Linked DNA regions of Arabidopsis thaliana. The protein of the gene in region 2 binds, or shares a complex with, the protein of the main gene of each other region. Each region holds a gene or a part of one and is shown on either strand. Other genes may lie near its edges.

Region 1 (5,230 bases), on a different chromosome or scaffold from region 2:
TTGCTGTTACATAAGTTCGGAGAACATGTAATCTCCGATAAAGACTATACAACAACTTAACACAATACAAAAATAAAATAAAGTAGTAGTTACAGCTCAATTGAATAAAGGAAAATGTCATCAAAAGTAGGATAATAAACTACATATTTCCGCCCAAAAAAAAAAAACTAAAAAAAAACTACATATTTCCACAATTTGATGATCTTTATCAGAAAACGATGCAATCTATGTTAGAAAATAAATTATGTTACAGATTTGTTCACAAAACCTCTACCAACTACAACTTTTGAAAAATTGGTACAAAAGACCATAGGCTACAATTGGTTGGAAGAATAAAGAAGAGAAAAAATGTTAGTAGGTGCAATATGCGACGACGGAGGAAGTCAAGCAAGCAACAAGTTTAGTTCTGCTGTCAACATCGCTTACTTACGCTTCAGGAAAGGATCAATGCTTTTGAAACAATCTCATCTCCTTTTCTTTTTCTTACTTCAACTTGTTTTTTTTAAGGCAGTAACAATTAGTAAGGATGAAAATAATCACATTATCATTAAGCTGAGATGTCAAAGCGATTATGATGAGAGGAAAAGAAAATGAAAATAAGTATTGGTAAGACATCTTAGTTTTAATAATCGTATATCAACCAAATTTGATCAATAATTAGCTTAAACCAACATATCATTTTAGAGGCCTCAACCTCCTTTGAATAATTAGGCTGATACTACATTCTAATGACAGATGAATAACGTACATCTCCACTTTTTAAAACAAACAAGATTATGTTATTTGATTTAGGTATCCGTATATGCCAAATATATTTTTCTGGATGTAAGAACCACGAGTAACATGTTGATGATGTGTTTAAGTGGTAAAAGGAGAGGAGAAAACTAAATTTTGGGACTGTGTTGAGCTCTTTGGGCAATTGATAATATTGCAAAATCTCAAAAGAGGCTGTTTTTTTTTTATCAAGTAAAAATACACACATTGTGTCTATTATGGTTTTACTCTTTGATCAAATCCTGCATGTGTTGTGCATAACTTCTTCCCGGTGGAATGAATATTACATCTTCCCAACCTGAATTCTTCTCGCTCATCTACATTGATTCAATTCAGATTTTTATTAGACTACCAGGTTTTCATACTTTAAGGTTTCTTTAAACAAAGAAGAAGCGTGAGTACCTCCATTTTCCTCAACACATCTTCCAGACTCCCAACCTGCAAAACAAAAAGATTAGTTCCATGGTGAAGATAAGAAAACTCTTAACAAAACCAATGCTGTGAAATTACTTTATATATTGATCTCTGATATGCAACTTTGATAACGATAAACCTTGGAATTCATTTTAACTCAGATATATGAAGGCATGTACAATCTGAATTCCGCTCTTTCTAAAGTTTTCTAAGACTTTTCCCTTTCCCTCGCTGTTCCTTTGAAAACATGGTGTTATATGTTTGCAGAACATGTAATCACAAAAAATGCTAGAAATTACATATGATGCCAACACAGCTACTAGCTACTCCCACTTGTTAGTAAACCATGTCTTTAGATCAAGGTGTTTGTTTCTATCTTACGTGGCCTATCGAAGATTCAAATACATAGAAGGTAGGTATGAATCATTACCATAATTTGTTGATCTCCTCTTGATGCTCTCGTATATTTAGAAAGTTCCCTCTCTATATCTTCCTGAAAGTGGTCACGCAGAACAGGAAAGTAAGAGTTATCTTCCTCTGTTTTGGCTTATGAGAGATCTATTAGTATTCTTTAACGTGGGAGAAGAAACTAACCAACCTTACTGAAATATACAGGGCAGTAACGTCTATTTTTTTTCCTCACAACAAGAAGCTCAGACTGTAGAGGCCAATAACAACAGATAGATATCAAGAGAAAACAAAGCAAAAACACCAAAACATAAGGAATCCATATTGGTATAATAGAAAAACACAGAAAATGAGTATATCAATTTACCTGAAAAACCGGAACTCCATCAAACCCATTCTTATTTCCTGAGGATTTGAGCTGAGACGCAAGAAAATATAGCTTATGGATAAGATTGAAATGCCAAATAAATGCTATAGACACATATAATTAAAAGTCTGTTTAGCATGAGCCAACCTCTAACGCATTCTTTATTTGGATTGGATCTGGCAAGAAGCGAAAGGAAATCCCTTCAACTTTTAGCAAGTACACCTGTAAACAACATCATCTTAACTTCTGGGAATGTAGCTACCACGATTACGCAAATAACATCAAAAAGTTCCCTAAACGTAGTTATAACTTATAAGTTCCAAGCCATTAGAGGGATTATAATCATGCCATCGTTGCATTCTTTCTTGTGACGATGTTGTCAACATTGCTACGTGCACAAGAACACAATCTCCCGTTCATTCAAACTGCCAACAGGTGTTCCTATTACCGTATAATATAAACAACTAAAATGAGGCCAGACATGAACAAGTCTACTTAGAATTTGAGCTCCTGAAATTTGTTTGTTTCATTTGATTTAACCAATGGCTTCTTCCACATTGATCTAATGCAGTGATCATAAGGAAAGGGAACTACCTGGTCCAGAGTAATGGGAACAACCTTCGCATTGGTTTTCAATTCTCTTCTCCGAAGTCGCGCCTAAAGGAGTATATTAGAGAATTATGAGCTCAGAAACTTCACATTTTTTTAAAAAAGTTCGGAGGAGAAAAATACAACAAAAAGCGAAACCTGAGCAAGAAAAGCTTCAGCATCCTCTTGTCGAAAACAGAGCAAACCGATAGACTTGCCTCCGGTAGGATCCGAGATAAGAACGAATTCGTTATTGGTGTTACTGACTGTAAACACCGACGTCCCAGCGAGAGCTTTAGCGACAAGAGATGGACTCAACGTCGTCGTCGGGGTTCCAGACTTGGATTGTGAGACGGAGGCGAAAGGCGGCGGAGTAGGAAGAGAGAAACGTCGAGTAGCTAGGGTTTCGGCGAATCGTTTCGTGTCTTCGATTCGGGCGGAGAGGTCGGAGCTGAAGCGGGTACACTGGTGGTGAATGAAAGAAGAGAAGGAGAGGAAAGGATTGGGTTTCACTGATGACTCCATTTTTGGATTTGCAGAGAGAAGAAAGAAGTAGAAGAAGAAGAAGCAATTTTTGATACTATGAAGAGAGTGAAGAAAAAGGCTTCAGAGCAATTCGTTTGGGCTTTTTTATTTGGGCTTTATTGGACTTGATTGGTTTTAGTTTACGTTTAATATGGCCCTTGATCAAAAGTTTGGTGACAAAGCATTTATTAACTTTCTAAACTCAACTTCCACACCATTCTAAACACATGACATGACTTACAAAAAGCTTTTGTCACTCAAAATTCATGTCGATGACATTTTTTTCCTCCAAATTTCTCCTCCTTATAAAATACTTACTAGATCAAGCAAACAACACACTAAAGAAAACAAAATTGTTAAAACTCTCGTTAACTGAAAAATATGAGGAACATTACTACTACAACCCGAAAAATGTTACTACTTGTGATTACGATTTTATTGGGGATTGCGTATCATGGAGAAGCCATAGCATGTCCGCAGGTAAACATGTACTTAGCACAATGTTTGCCTTATCTAAAAGCTGGAGGAAATCCGTCTCCAATGTGCTGCAACGGACTTAATAGTCTAAAAGCCGCAGCGCCTGAGAAAGCCGATAGACAAGTAGCTTGTAATTGCTTGAAGAGTGTAGCTAATACAATCCCTGGAATTAATGATGATTTTGCCAAACAACTCCCTGCTAAATGTGGTGTTAATATAGGAGTCCCTTTCTCTAAGACTGTGGACTGTAACAGGTAGCTACTGCAGTTTCTTTTTAATATTGCCGAAACATGTGTAGTTGTGAGAGCTTCTAACTACATAATCCTCTAATTGACCTATTTAATTTGTTTTGTGAACACTGAACAGCATAAACTGAAAAGAAGATTGACTACCAACGGCCATGCAGCTACAATAAAGTGGATATCCTAAAAGATCAAAACCATCATGAACAAATTATATGGATACTTAGTATTTATCTTCTGATCATATATGTTATAGATGTAATCATATAGTTCTTGGCAGATAAAATGTGATTATTTCCCACATTTACATATTCCCTCTTTCCTACTCTCACACGTAGCTCAACATCTTAAAATATGATCATCAGCATTTGCACACAATGTTTCACATTTATTTGACATACACGATCAAAACGAAGCAGTTTTGTAACAAGATAAAAATCGATTGGGTTAAAAGTGTAACGGGAGAAGTAAAAATGTAGTCATCACTCATCATAGTGACTGAATTCAAGGGAATATTATTCTTCGAAATACCTGAAAGATGGGAAATTTGAATTTCAGTAGTGAATGACGCCCAGACTCTTCAACCAAGGGAGCATCTCCTCCAATCCTTCCTTTAGGCTTCGAGGGTTATAACCAAGTTCCAGCTTAGCCTTATCACAAGAGTATGACCACTGATGTCTCAGCACTGTCACTGTCTGTTCATCACAAAATACTAAGAGTTGAGATTATTCTATACCTAATAAGATAATCTATAATATGTGGGCAACTAATGAATGCAATTGAAACTCACCGGAGGACTGATAAGTGGAAGCTTTCCTGTAACCCGAGAGATTAAAACAGATAACCATCCGTATGCGTTGATGGCCCATAATGGAATGCTAAAGTTTGGCTTTTTGGTTCCAGTAATCAGTGCAGCCATGTCAAAGACAAGCTTGAAAGAAGCATTTTCCCCAGTGAGTAAGTATCTTTCACCAAGCCTACCTTTTTCCATTGCAGCAACATGACCCTCCACAACATCATCAACATGGCTGAAGGAGTATCTATCCGTCCCAGAGCCAATATATCCAGGCAACCTCCCGTTAAAGCGCTCGATCAACTAGAAGAACAACATCATGTGATAATCAACCACATACTGTCAATGTACCACTACATCATCCCACCAATGCAACTCTAATCAGCAAAAGGAAGAATCATACCATTCTAGCAACCATATTGGCTGAAGTGAGCTTGCCTGGACCAAAAATAACACCAGGATACAGCAAAATTATCGGCACACCTTCAGAAGCAGCATTCAAAGCCATCTTATCAGCAACAGCCTTGGATCTCTCATACTCAGTGCAGAAGAACCTCTCATTATGAACCTTATCTCAAGACCAGATCAAAATCAGAATCAAACATTACAAAACAAAATTTTGAAATTTAAAAGTATCATACT
Region 2 (6,578 bases):
GAGTCATCATAACTCTTTGCAACTTTCATCAATGATTAAACTTTAACAATATAATATCCAATTCCAAAGATAATGTGTAATGTTCTCGCATAGAGTTCTTGAGGTTACATTACCTAAGACTAAGAAAGAGACAATATTTACTAAAAAGACAAAAGCTTTCTGAATAATCATGCTCACAGAATATCACATACCGTCAAACATTACGATTTTATAACTAAAACACTCTTCAAATGAATACCAAGCAAGGATGGTTTTTTCTCCTCGATTTTCTCAAGAGTCAGGGGATTATAAAGAACGGAAATACAAATTTGAAGTCACAAGGATACTTACCCACGACTCAATCATGCGACTCACAGCCGTCGGAGGCAGACGTATTCGACGGAGCCAAGGATTTCACGCGCCAATTCTCCCGACAACGACCGACGTACGGAATACAACAACAACAAAAAAAAACTCCGACTCCGATAGAAGTGGAACGATAAGGGTCATTGATTTCTTTAAGATGGGGCCATCACTTCATTAAACCGCTTCGATATCGCCACGTCACTTCTCCTTTTGGATATTAAAAATAAGGTAAAATTCCAAAATAAATCACAACTATTTAAAATTTGCGAGAAAAAAACTTCAATTTTTTAAATTGCTAAAACAAAATATTGGCAGATTTATTCACACAATCTCAAACAAAAAAAATTGAGGTTTTTTCAAGCAAATTTTGAATACATGAAGTTTATTTTGGAAATTTTCCCTTAAAAATAATAATTTGCTCTTCAGTGTCTTCATAGACTTTTTTTGGTAAGACAACAAATTCTATTGTATAATATTCATACCAAACAACAGCAGCGGCGTTTTCACACGACTCCAATTCCCGACCGCGTTTAAGATTAACATGGTACACAATTCTCTGATCTGACCAAAACTGAAGACTCTTTGCAAAAAAAAAAACATTTTTTTCTCCCTACAAAAAGCTAAAGACAATGTGACATTTTTGATAGAACCAAAGACGTGAGCTTTTTCAACCCGTCATTCCTGGGAAGAGCTGCGATATCTTGTTGAACACATCCATTACCTGCAATCAATGTATAATAACCTCAAATTTCTTAAAAAAGTAATCGCCTTTTTGGGCAATGGAGAAGTGGCAGTATTATTACCTCTTTGTCGTTTTGGTACTTCATGATGTTCATTGGGTTCTCTGAGCACTGCAACAACAACAAGAATGTAATTGGTTTCTGTTTTGTATGAAGAAAGAAGTGGGGTAAAATTAAGCAATTCTCTTATTCAGGTTAAAAGAAAACGTACTTCCATTAACGCTGCTTGGACTCTAGGATTCTGGAATGCCATGGCAACATCAGGGTTCTCCATGATCTTAGATATGACTTCTTCTGGAGTTAGTCCTATTTGATCTGACAAATACAGATTCAATCATTGAGTATCAGACCTATTTAACGTACTATTAACTTGGTACAAACTGAGATTTGTCTTACTGAATTGTTGCTTCACTTCAGGACTATTCAGGTCAAAATTCTTCAATGTATCTGTCATTCGCTTGTCCCATTCACCACTCCCACTCATATTATTCCTAAATTCATGAAAAGAAACAAACAAGAGTATTTCTTAATTACATAGTTTAGACATTCTTAAAAGCAATGGAAACAACTAAATTGTTCGTAAAATGGAGCTCTTACAACATGTCCTGTAGTTGTTGACGGTACTGAGGATTTTTAAGCATCCCTACAAAATTCCAAGCGGAGACAATAAGTACCAAACTGTATTTTAAATTTAGATAACCATTGGATCAACCTATAAACGAATTACATCATTCAAAAGCTAGTCATGTAACCTTTAGTCTTTAGAAATATGTAAAAATGAGGACTAATAAAAGAATGATAGCAGGATTAAATATTAAAAGACTTACATTTGAAAGTTTCTGGGTTCCTCATCTCCTCAGGCAAGTATCTGCATTTATACATGCAATGTTACCAAATGTCCACTAAGCAACCAGTTTTAAAGATAAACTTAATGGATGCATTTAAAGACAATGTGCTAGGGAAGATGAGTTACGGGTAAACCATCTTCTGGACTGTTGGATCTTCCATCATTTTCTCTAAAGCTTCTACAGATAAACCCGGCCCTCCTTTCCCACCACCTGTGTAAACAATAGACAGACTCAGGATTCAGTTTTAAATTTAGAATAAGGAAAAGAGAGACAATAACGTGAGCATATAAGAAAAAAGAATCATAACACATGAGATATGAAACAGATTGCCAAGGTAATATCCTGCAAGTCTTATATGGTTATACCAATACAGATCAACGACTAGCAGAAGGACAAAAGTAACGGAGTAGATCCTTTTGAAGCCAACTCATTCCTCTTTATCACCAATTTCATATCTTCCTTTGTTTATAATTGTTGGCATATGCTATAAAATAAAATTGAAATCCGTAGCCTTAATCATGAATCATGCACAGTGCGCTGATAGTGATGAAAACTGAAATTCAATAACTCACCCAAAGATTGAAAAACCTCTGAAGCAGTGGCACCATTTGCCGGACCAGCTCCATTTTGCAAGACCTTCACCCAGAGATCAATAAGAGAGCATAGAAGGTTAGCAAAACTATGTCACGTTTTTAAATCACCACTTGGTGTGCTGTGGAAATACAAAAGAAAACGAAACTTACATCCTCAAACAAGCGAGTTTCTTTGGGGGAATTAGTTTCAGAGACTTCTGCATAGTTGCTAAATGGGCTTTCTTTTGTGGTTTCCTCGGGTGAAATGTCTTCAAAGGCTGCATCCAAAAGTAAATCAGCTTCCAAGTTAGAAGCTTGGAAAATGAGAAAGGAAGAAAGTCAAAATTGAGAATACAAATGAAAAGACGTTGATTTCTGAAACAGAAAAAGAATCTACCATAGTTCTTTTCTTCTTTCTTCTCTTTGCTTGCCTCTAAGACAACACTTGGCTTATCCACCTCTATATCCTTTGCAGGTGTAGGTTTCGGTTTAGTTGAAGGAGGTGTCTCTACTTTTGTCGCTGTCACATCAACGGTAGCACCTGAAGACTGGGATTGAGATTGGAATGGCGAGGAAGCAGGACTTGTTTGAGGAGGAAATGGAAACGGAAAAGGTGATCCTGATGGGAATCCAGAATTATTAAACTGGCTATTTTGCGTATTCATTTGGTTCATCATCGTCTTCATAGCTGTTTGCATTGCATATTTCTAAACCAAAGCAAAAAAAAAAATCCAAAGAGAGTAACAGCCGGTTAGAGAATAATGAGAGAAAGCAATGACAACTTGTATAATATATTTCAATCAAATACTGGAGTTGCGAAAATGACTATAAGTCTGAATACCTGAGTTGCATCACTAAAACCATAATGGTATGTAGGTTACCATCTACGAATCAAGTGACTACCCAAAAAAAGAGAGGCAAAAGTTCGATGCTTATATAAACGGTTCAACAAGTGTGAGCAAACAGTTCACCTTGTTAAGATAACCAGTTTAGTGAATAAAACTATCTCAGATACATGAGCACAATACACTAGAGTTGACATGAAGCATAAAATCGTGGTTCTGCAACAGACTAGAGAACAAAAGTCCCGTAAAACCAGAGGGCCAAGTATCTGTACCTTTAAATTTGAAGTTACCTGCAATGCCATCAGAAAAGAAAAAAGGTCAAGCACTTATTAATCAATATTGAAGCAAGAAAGAATATTTATAGAGGAAAAAAAAATTAGGAAGGAATCTTGATACTCACATATGAGAACAAAGCTGATAGACCAACACCAACACCAATCCAGAAAAGTGGTGATCCTCTACAAGAAAAAAGAAAAAACACAATTTAATAACCAAGAATCAAACGACATACAAACTAAGCACATTGTCCAAAACCAGGAAAATTACATGGTTGATGAAGATGGTGGTGGCACAGGCACACTAGGGGAAGCAACAGAAGTTGTCTGTTGATCACGACTCGAAGAAAATATACTTGCAAAAGCTTTGCTTCTCTGTTTCACAACCACTGCAAATCGAACATAAACTTAAAGTAAACAATTCTAACAATGAATGGTTTCTACAAGAATTCAAATTGCAAATTCACAAAGTGTGGATTTTTTTAAGAGATATAGCAATTCATAAGCTCATATTAAACCAGTCGAAAAGGGTTCGCAATTTGAGTTTCAATAAGATAGATAAAAGTAATAAACTGGAAATTTTTCCGGAAAATTTTGGCATTTGCTATAATAGAGTGTCGAGTGGAATTTGCAAACTAACCGATTTCTCCAGTGTTCTCCGGACGCGAAGAGGGAGATTGAGATTGAGCAGAGGCAGATATTTTGGAACACCGGAGGACAATATTAGGAGTCCGACGAGAAAACCCAGTAGGGTTTTTCAGCGAGGAAGTGAAATTGCATCCAATTAACAGCTTTGGAGAAGAAGCTGAGCAAGAAACTAGGGTAAGGTTCTCCATATCTAATTGTTTCTTTGGGAGAAAAAGAAACAGAAGAAGGAGAGCCTAAAACAAATTCTGGTGGAGAAGATGAAAGATATGATGAGGAAGAAGGAAACGAAGAAGAAGAGATTTTGGTCTAAAACCACGAGGTTTGAGTTTAGCACTAGACTTGGATCCAGTGTAGCTAAGTGTACTGAAACCTTTTTACAAATTAACAGGTGGCGATATTTTCACCGTCAAGATCAATGAGTTTTATTTATAAACCAAGGGTGTGATGTGAGTGAGAAACTCTTTCGAGATTATTGCAAAAGCCATCCCCCACTTTTTCTTTTTGTTATGTTATAGCCCGTATCTATTTTAAGAATCAGTGTACACTCATTTTTGTAGCAGAAAATCAATGATGTTAGTACTGTGATTCAGATTTTTCTATATACTGTGTTCTTTTTCTTTTTTTCATCCAGAATTTTTCCATTGTATTATAGGTTGTGAAATACAAAGGGTGGAATACAAATTTGAAACACAAAGCCGGCGGAAAACAAAAATATCTCCGGAAACTAAACCTAAAGAAGGGAAAACTTAAGACGAAAAACGAATAAAATTACGAACTATGGAAACAAGGGGAACCACAGATGGATTAGTCCCCAATTAAGCCCATACATGAGAACAACAAAATTGGCTAGGTTTTTCGTTGTGTTTCTCGTCCAAACGAATGAGACTACGCCCAAATGGGACTAATCCATTTGTAGTTATACTGTTGTGTTTTTCGGATTGTCCAAAAAATTGAATACTTAGTTCAAAGCTCACAATGAACAGGTTCAAGAGCCTTACGCCTTTAACATTGATTTAGGATTAGAGAGTCTGGAACCGTTGCCGAGTTACATAGTTTACACATTTCTTATTAGAAAAGAGTTTTAGTAATAAAGAAAGATACACTTTCATATAGTTTCTGAATATTATTATGGAAGTGTAAGTCTCCTATATGTAACTCGTTCACCTTCATCATCAAATTGGTTTACACAGTTTGTTCCATATGTCATTCCCAAAGTACATTGTTCTGTCAAATTATTCCACCATGTGGTAAACATCGAATAATGCTCTCTTCTATTTTCCCAATTTTTTGTGAATTTTCCCCAATTCGAACATAAAATGACATTAAAATTCCTAACTCAATATCTTTGTAAGAAGAAACCCACTCTTGGTTGGATACATATCAAGCATCCAAAAAAGATCACAAAGTAATCTTACAAATCAGCTACGTTTAACAATATCGAAGACAAAAACAGAATTCATAGCTGCTTCTCAGACAAAGGGCACAATGATTCCACATATGAGTGCTTGAGAAAATGATAATGTTCTTCAAGATTTAAACTAAGAAAAATATCGAACAAGAGCTCTACACTGATCTCTTCCTTGATCTAAAACACAAAGGGAAACAAATCCCCTTCAAGTATTTTAGATCAAAGTGTCATCAAGCAATACATATAGCTCAAGAACTCTTTCTTTGGATTAAATCAAGAAGAACCACATCACATTCTCAAGCCCATCTTTTCAGTGTGGTTAAAGCAATATAATCATCATAGAACAGCCAAAAAAACAAACCAATTTTTTTTTTTAAAACAACAAATTTAGAAAAACTGAATATGAGAAAAAGCTGCTTCTCAGACAAGGGCCAAGGTTGTCCACATGAGTGAGCTTGAAAAACGTGAATGTTCTTCAAGCCTCAAACCATGAAAAATGTTGATAAGAGCTCGACATTACTCTCTACCTTAATCTAAACCACAAAGGAGAAAAAGAATCCCCTTCAAGCAACTTAGATCAAAGTGTCATCAAGAAACTCCGAGATCAAATCTAATCTTTCTCTGGTTTGAATCAAGAAGAGCAAAATCACATTCTCAACCCCATCTTTTCAGTGTGGTTAAAGCAAAAAGAATCATCATAGAGCAGCATCAAAAAGCAAATTTTCACAAAACCTTTATTTGAGAAAAGGTTAACACTTTATCATAGAAATTCGAAGATCTAAAATATCCAAACATAAGATCAGAATTAAAAACATAGGAAGATGTCGAATCTCGAGAAAATGCTAGAATCCACGGGAAAAAAAATTCCCAGAATGCTACATGTCCAGAGACTCCAAA

The links.
Region 1: TIC40 (region 2) and Tic22-IV share a complex: the UniProt entries of both Arabidopsis thaliana proteins name them as parts of the tic complex.

What each region holds. Positions count from the first base shown.
Region 1 is NC_003075.7:16,063,640-16,068,869, forward strand, and holds Tic22-IV (Tic22-like family protein), read right to left. Parts: upstream 3,259-5,230; 5' UTR 3,077-3,258; coding exon 2,711-3,076; intron 2,621-2,710; coding exon 2,558-2,620; intron 2,186-2,557; coding exon 2,111-2,185; intron 2,015-2,110; coding exon 1,964-2,014; intron 1,847-1,963; coding exon 1,787-1,846; intron 1,682-1,786; coding exon 1,619-1,681; intron 1,213-1,618; coding exon 1,177-1,212; intron 1,092-1,176; coding exon 999-1,091; 3' UTR 798-998; downstream 1-797. Other genes in the region: AT4G33355 (Bifunctional inhibitor/lipid-transfer protein/seed storage 2S albumin superfamily protein), read left to right, coding at 3,458-3,807, 3,920-3,929; FLDH (NAD(P)-binding Rossmann-fold superfamily protein), read right to left, coding at 4,350-4,490, 4,586-4,891, 4,992-5,156, 5,230-5,230. UniProt on the Arabidopsis thaliana protein: Involved in protein precursor import into chloroplasts. Imported into the intermembrane space via the Toc translocon. May be involved in the import pathway used by proteins without a cleavable N-terminal pre-sequence.
Region 2 is NC_003076.8:5,448,691-5,455,268, reverse strand, and holds TIC40 (hydroxyproline-rich glycoprotein family protein), read right to left. Parts: upstream 4,650-6,578; 5' UTR 4,462-4,649; coding exon 4,266-4,461; intron 4,015-4,265; coding exon 3,897-4,014; intron 3,809-3,896; coding exon 3,751-3,808; intron 3,641-3,750; coding exon 3,623-3,640; intron 3,213-3,622; coding exon 2,903-3,212; intron 2,784-2,902; coding exon 2,677-2,783; intron 2,570-2,676; coding exon 2,506-2,569; intron 2,144-2,505; coding exon 2,059-2,143; intron 1,954-2,058; coding exon 1,913-1,953; intron 1,729-1,912; coding exon 1,683-1,728; intron 1,577-1,682; coding exon 1,482-1,576; intron 1,401-1,481; coding exon 1,297-1,400; intron 1,197-1,296; coding exon 1,149-1,196; intron 1,067-1,148; coding exon 1,013-1,066; 3' UTR 692-1,012; downstream 1-691. UniProt on the Arabidopsis thaliana protein: Involved in protein precursor import into chloroplasts. Part of the motor complex consisting of a co-chaperone (TIC40) and a chaperone (HSP93) associated with the import channel (TIC110).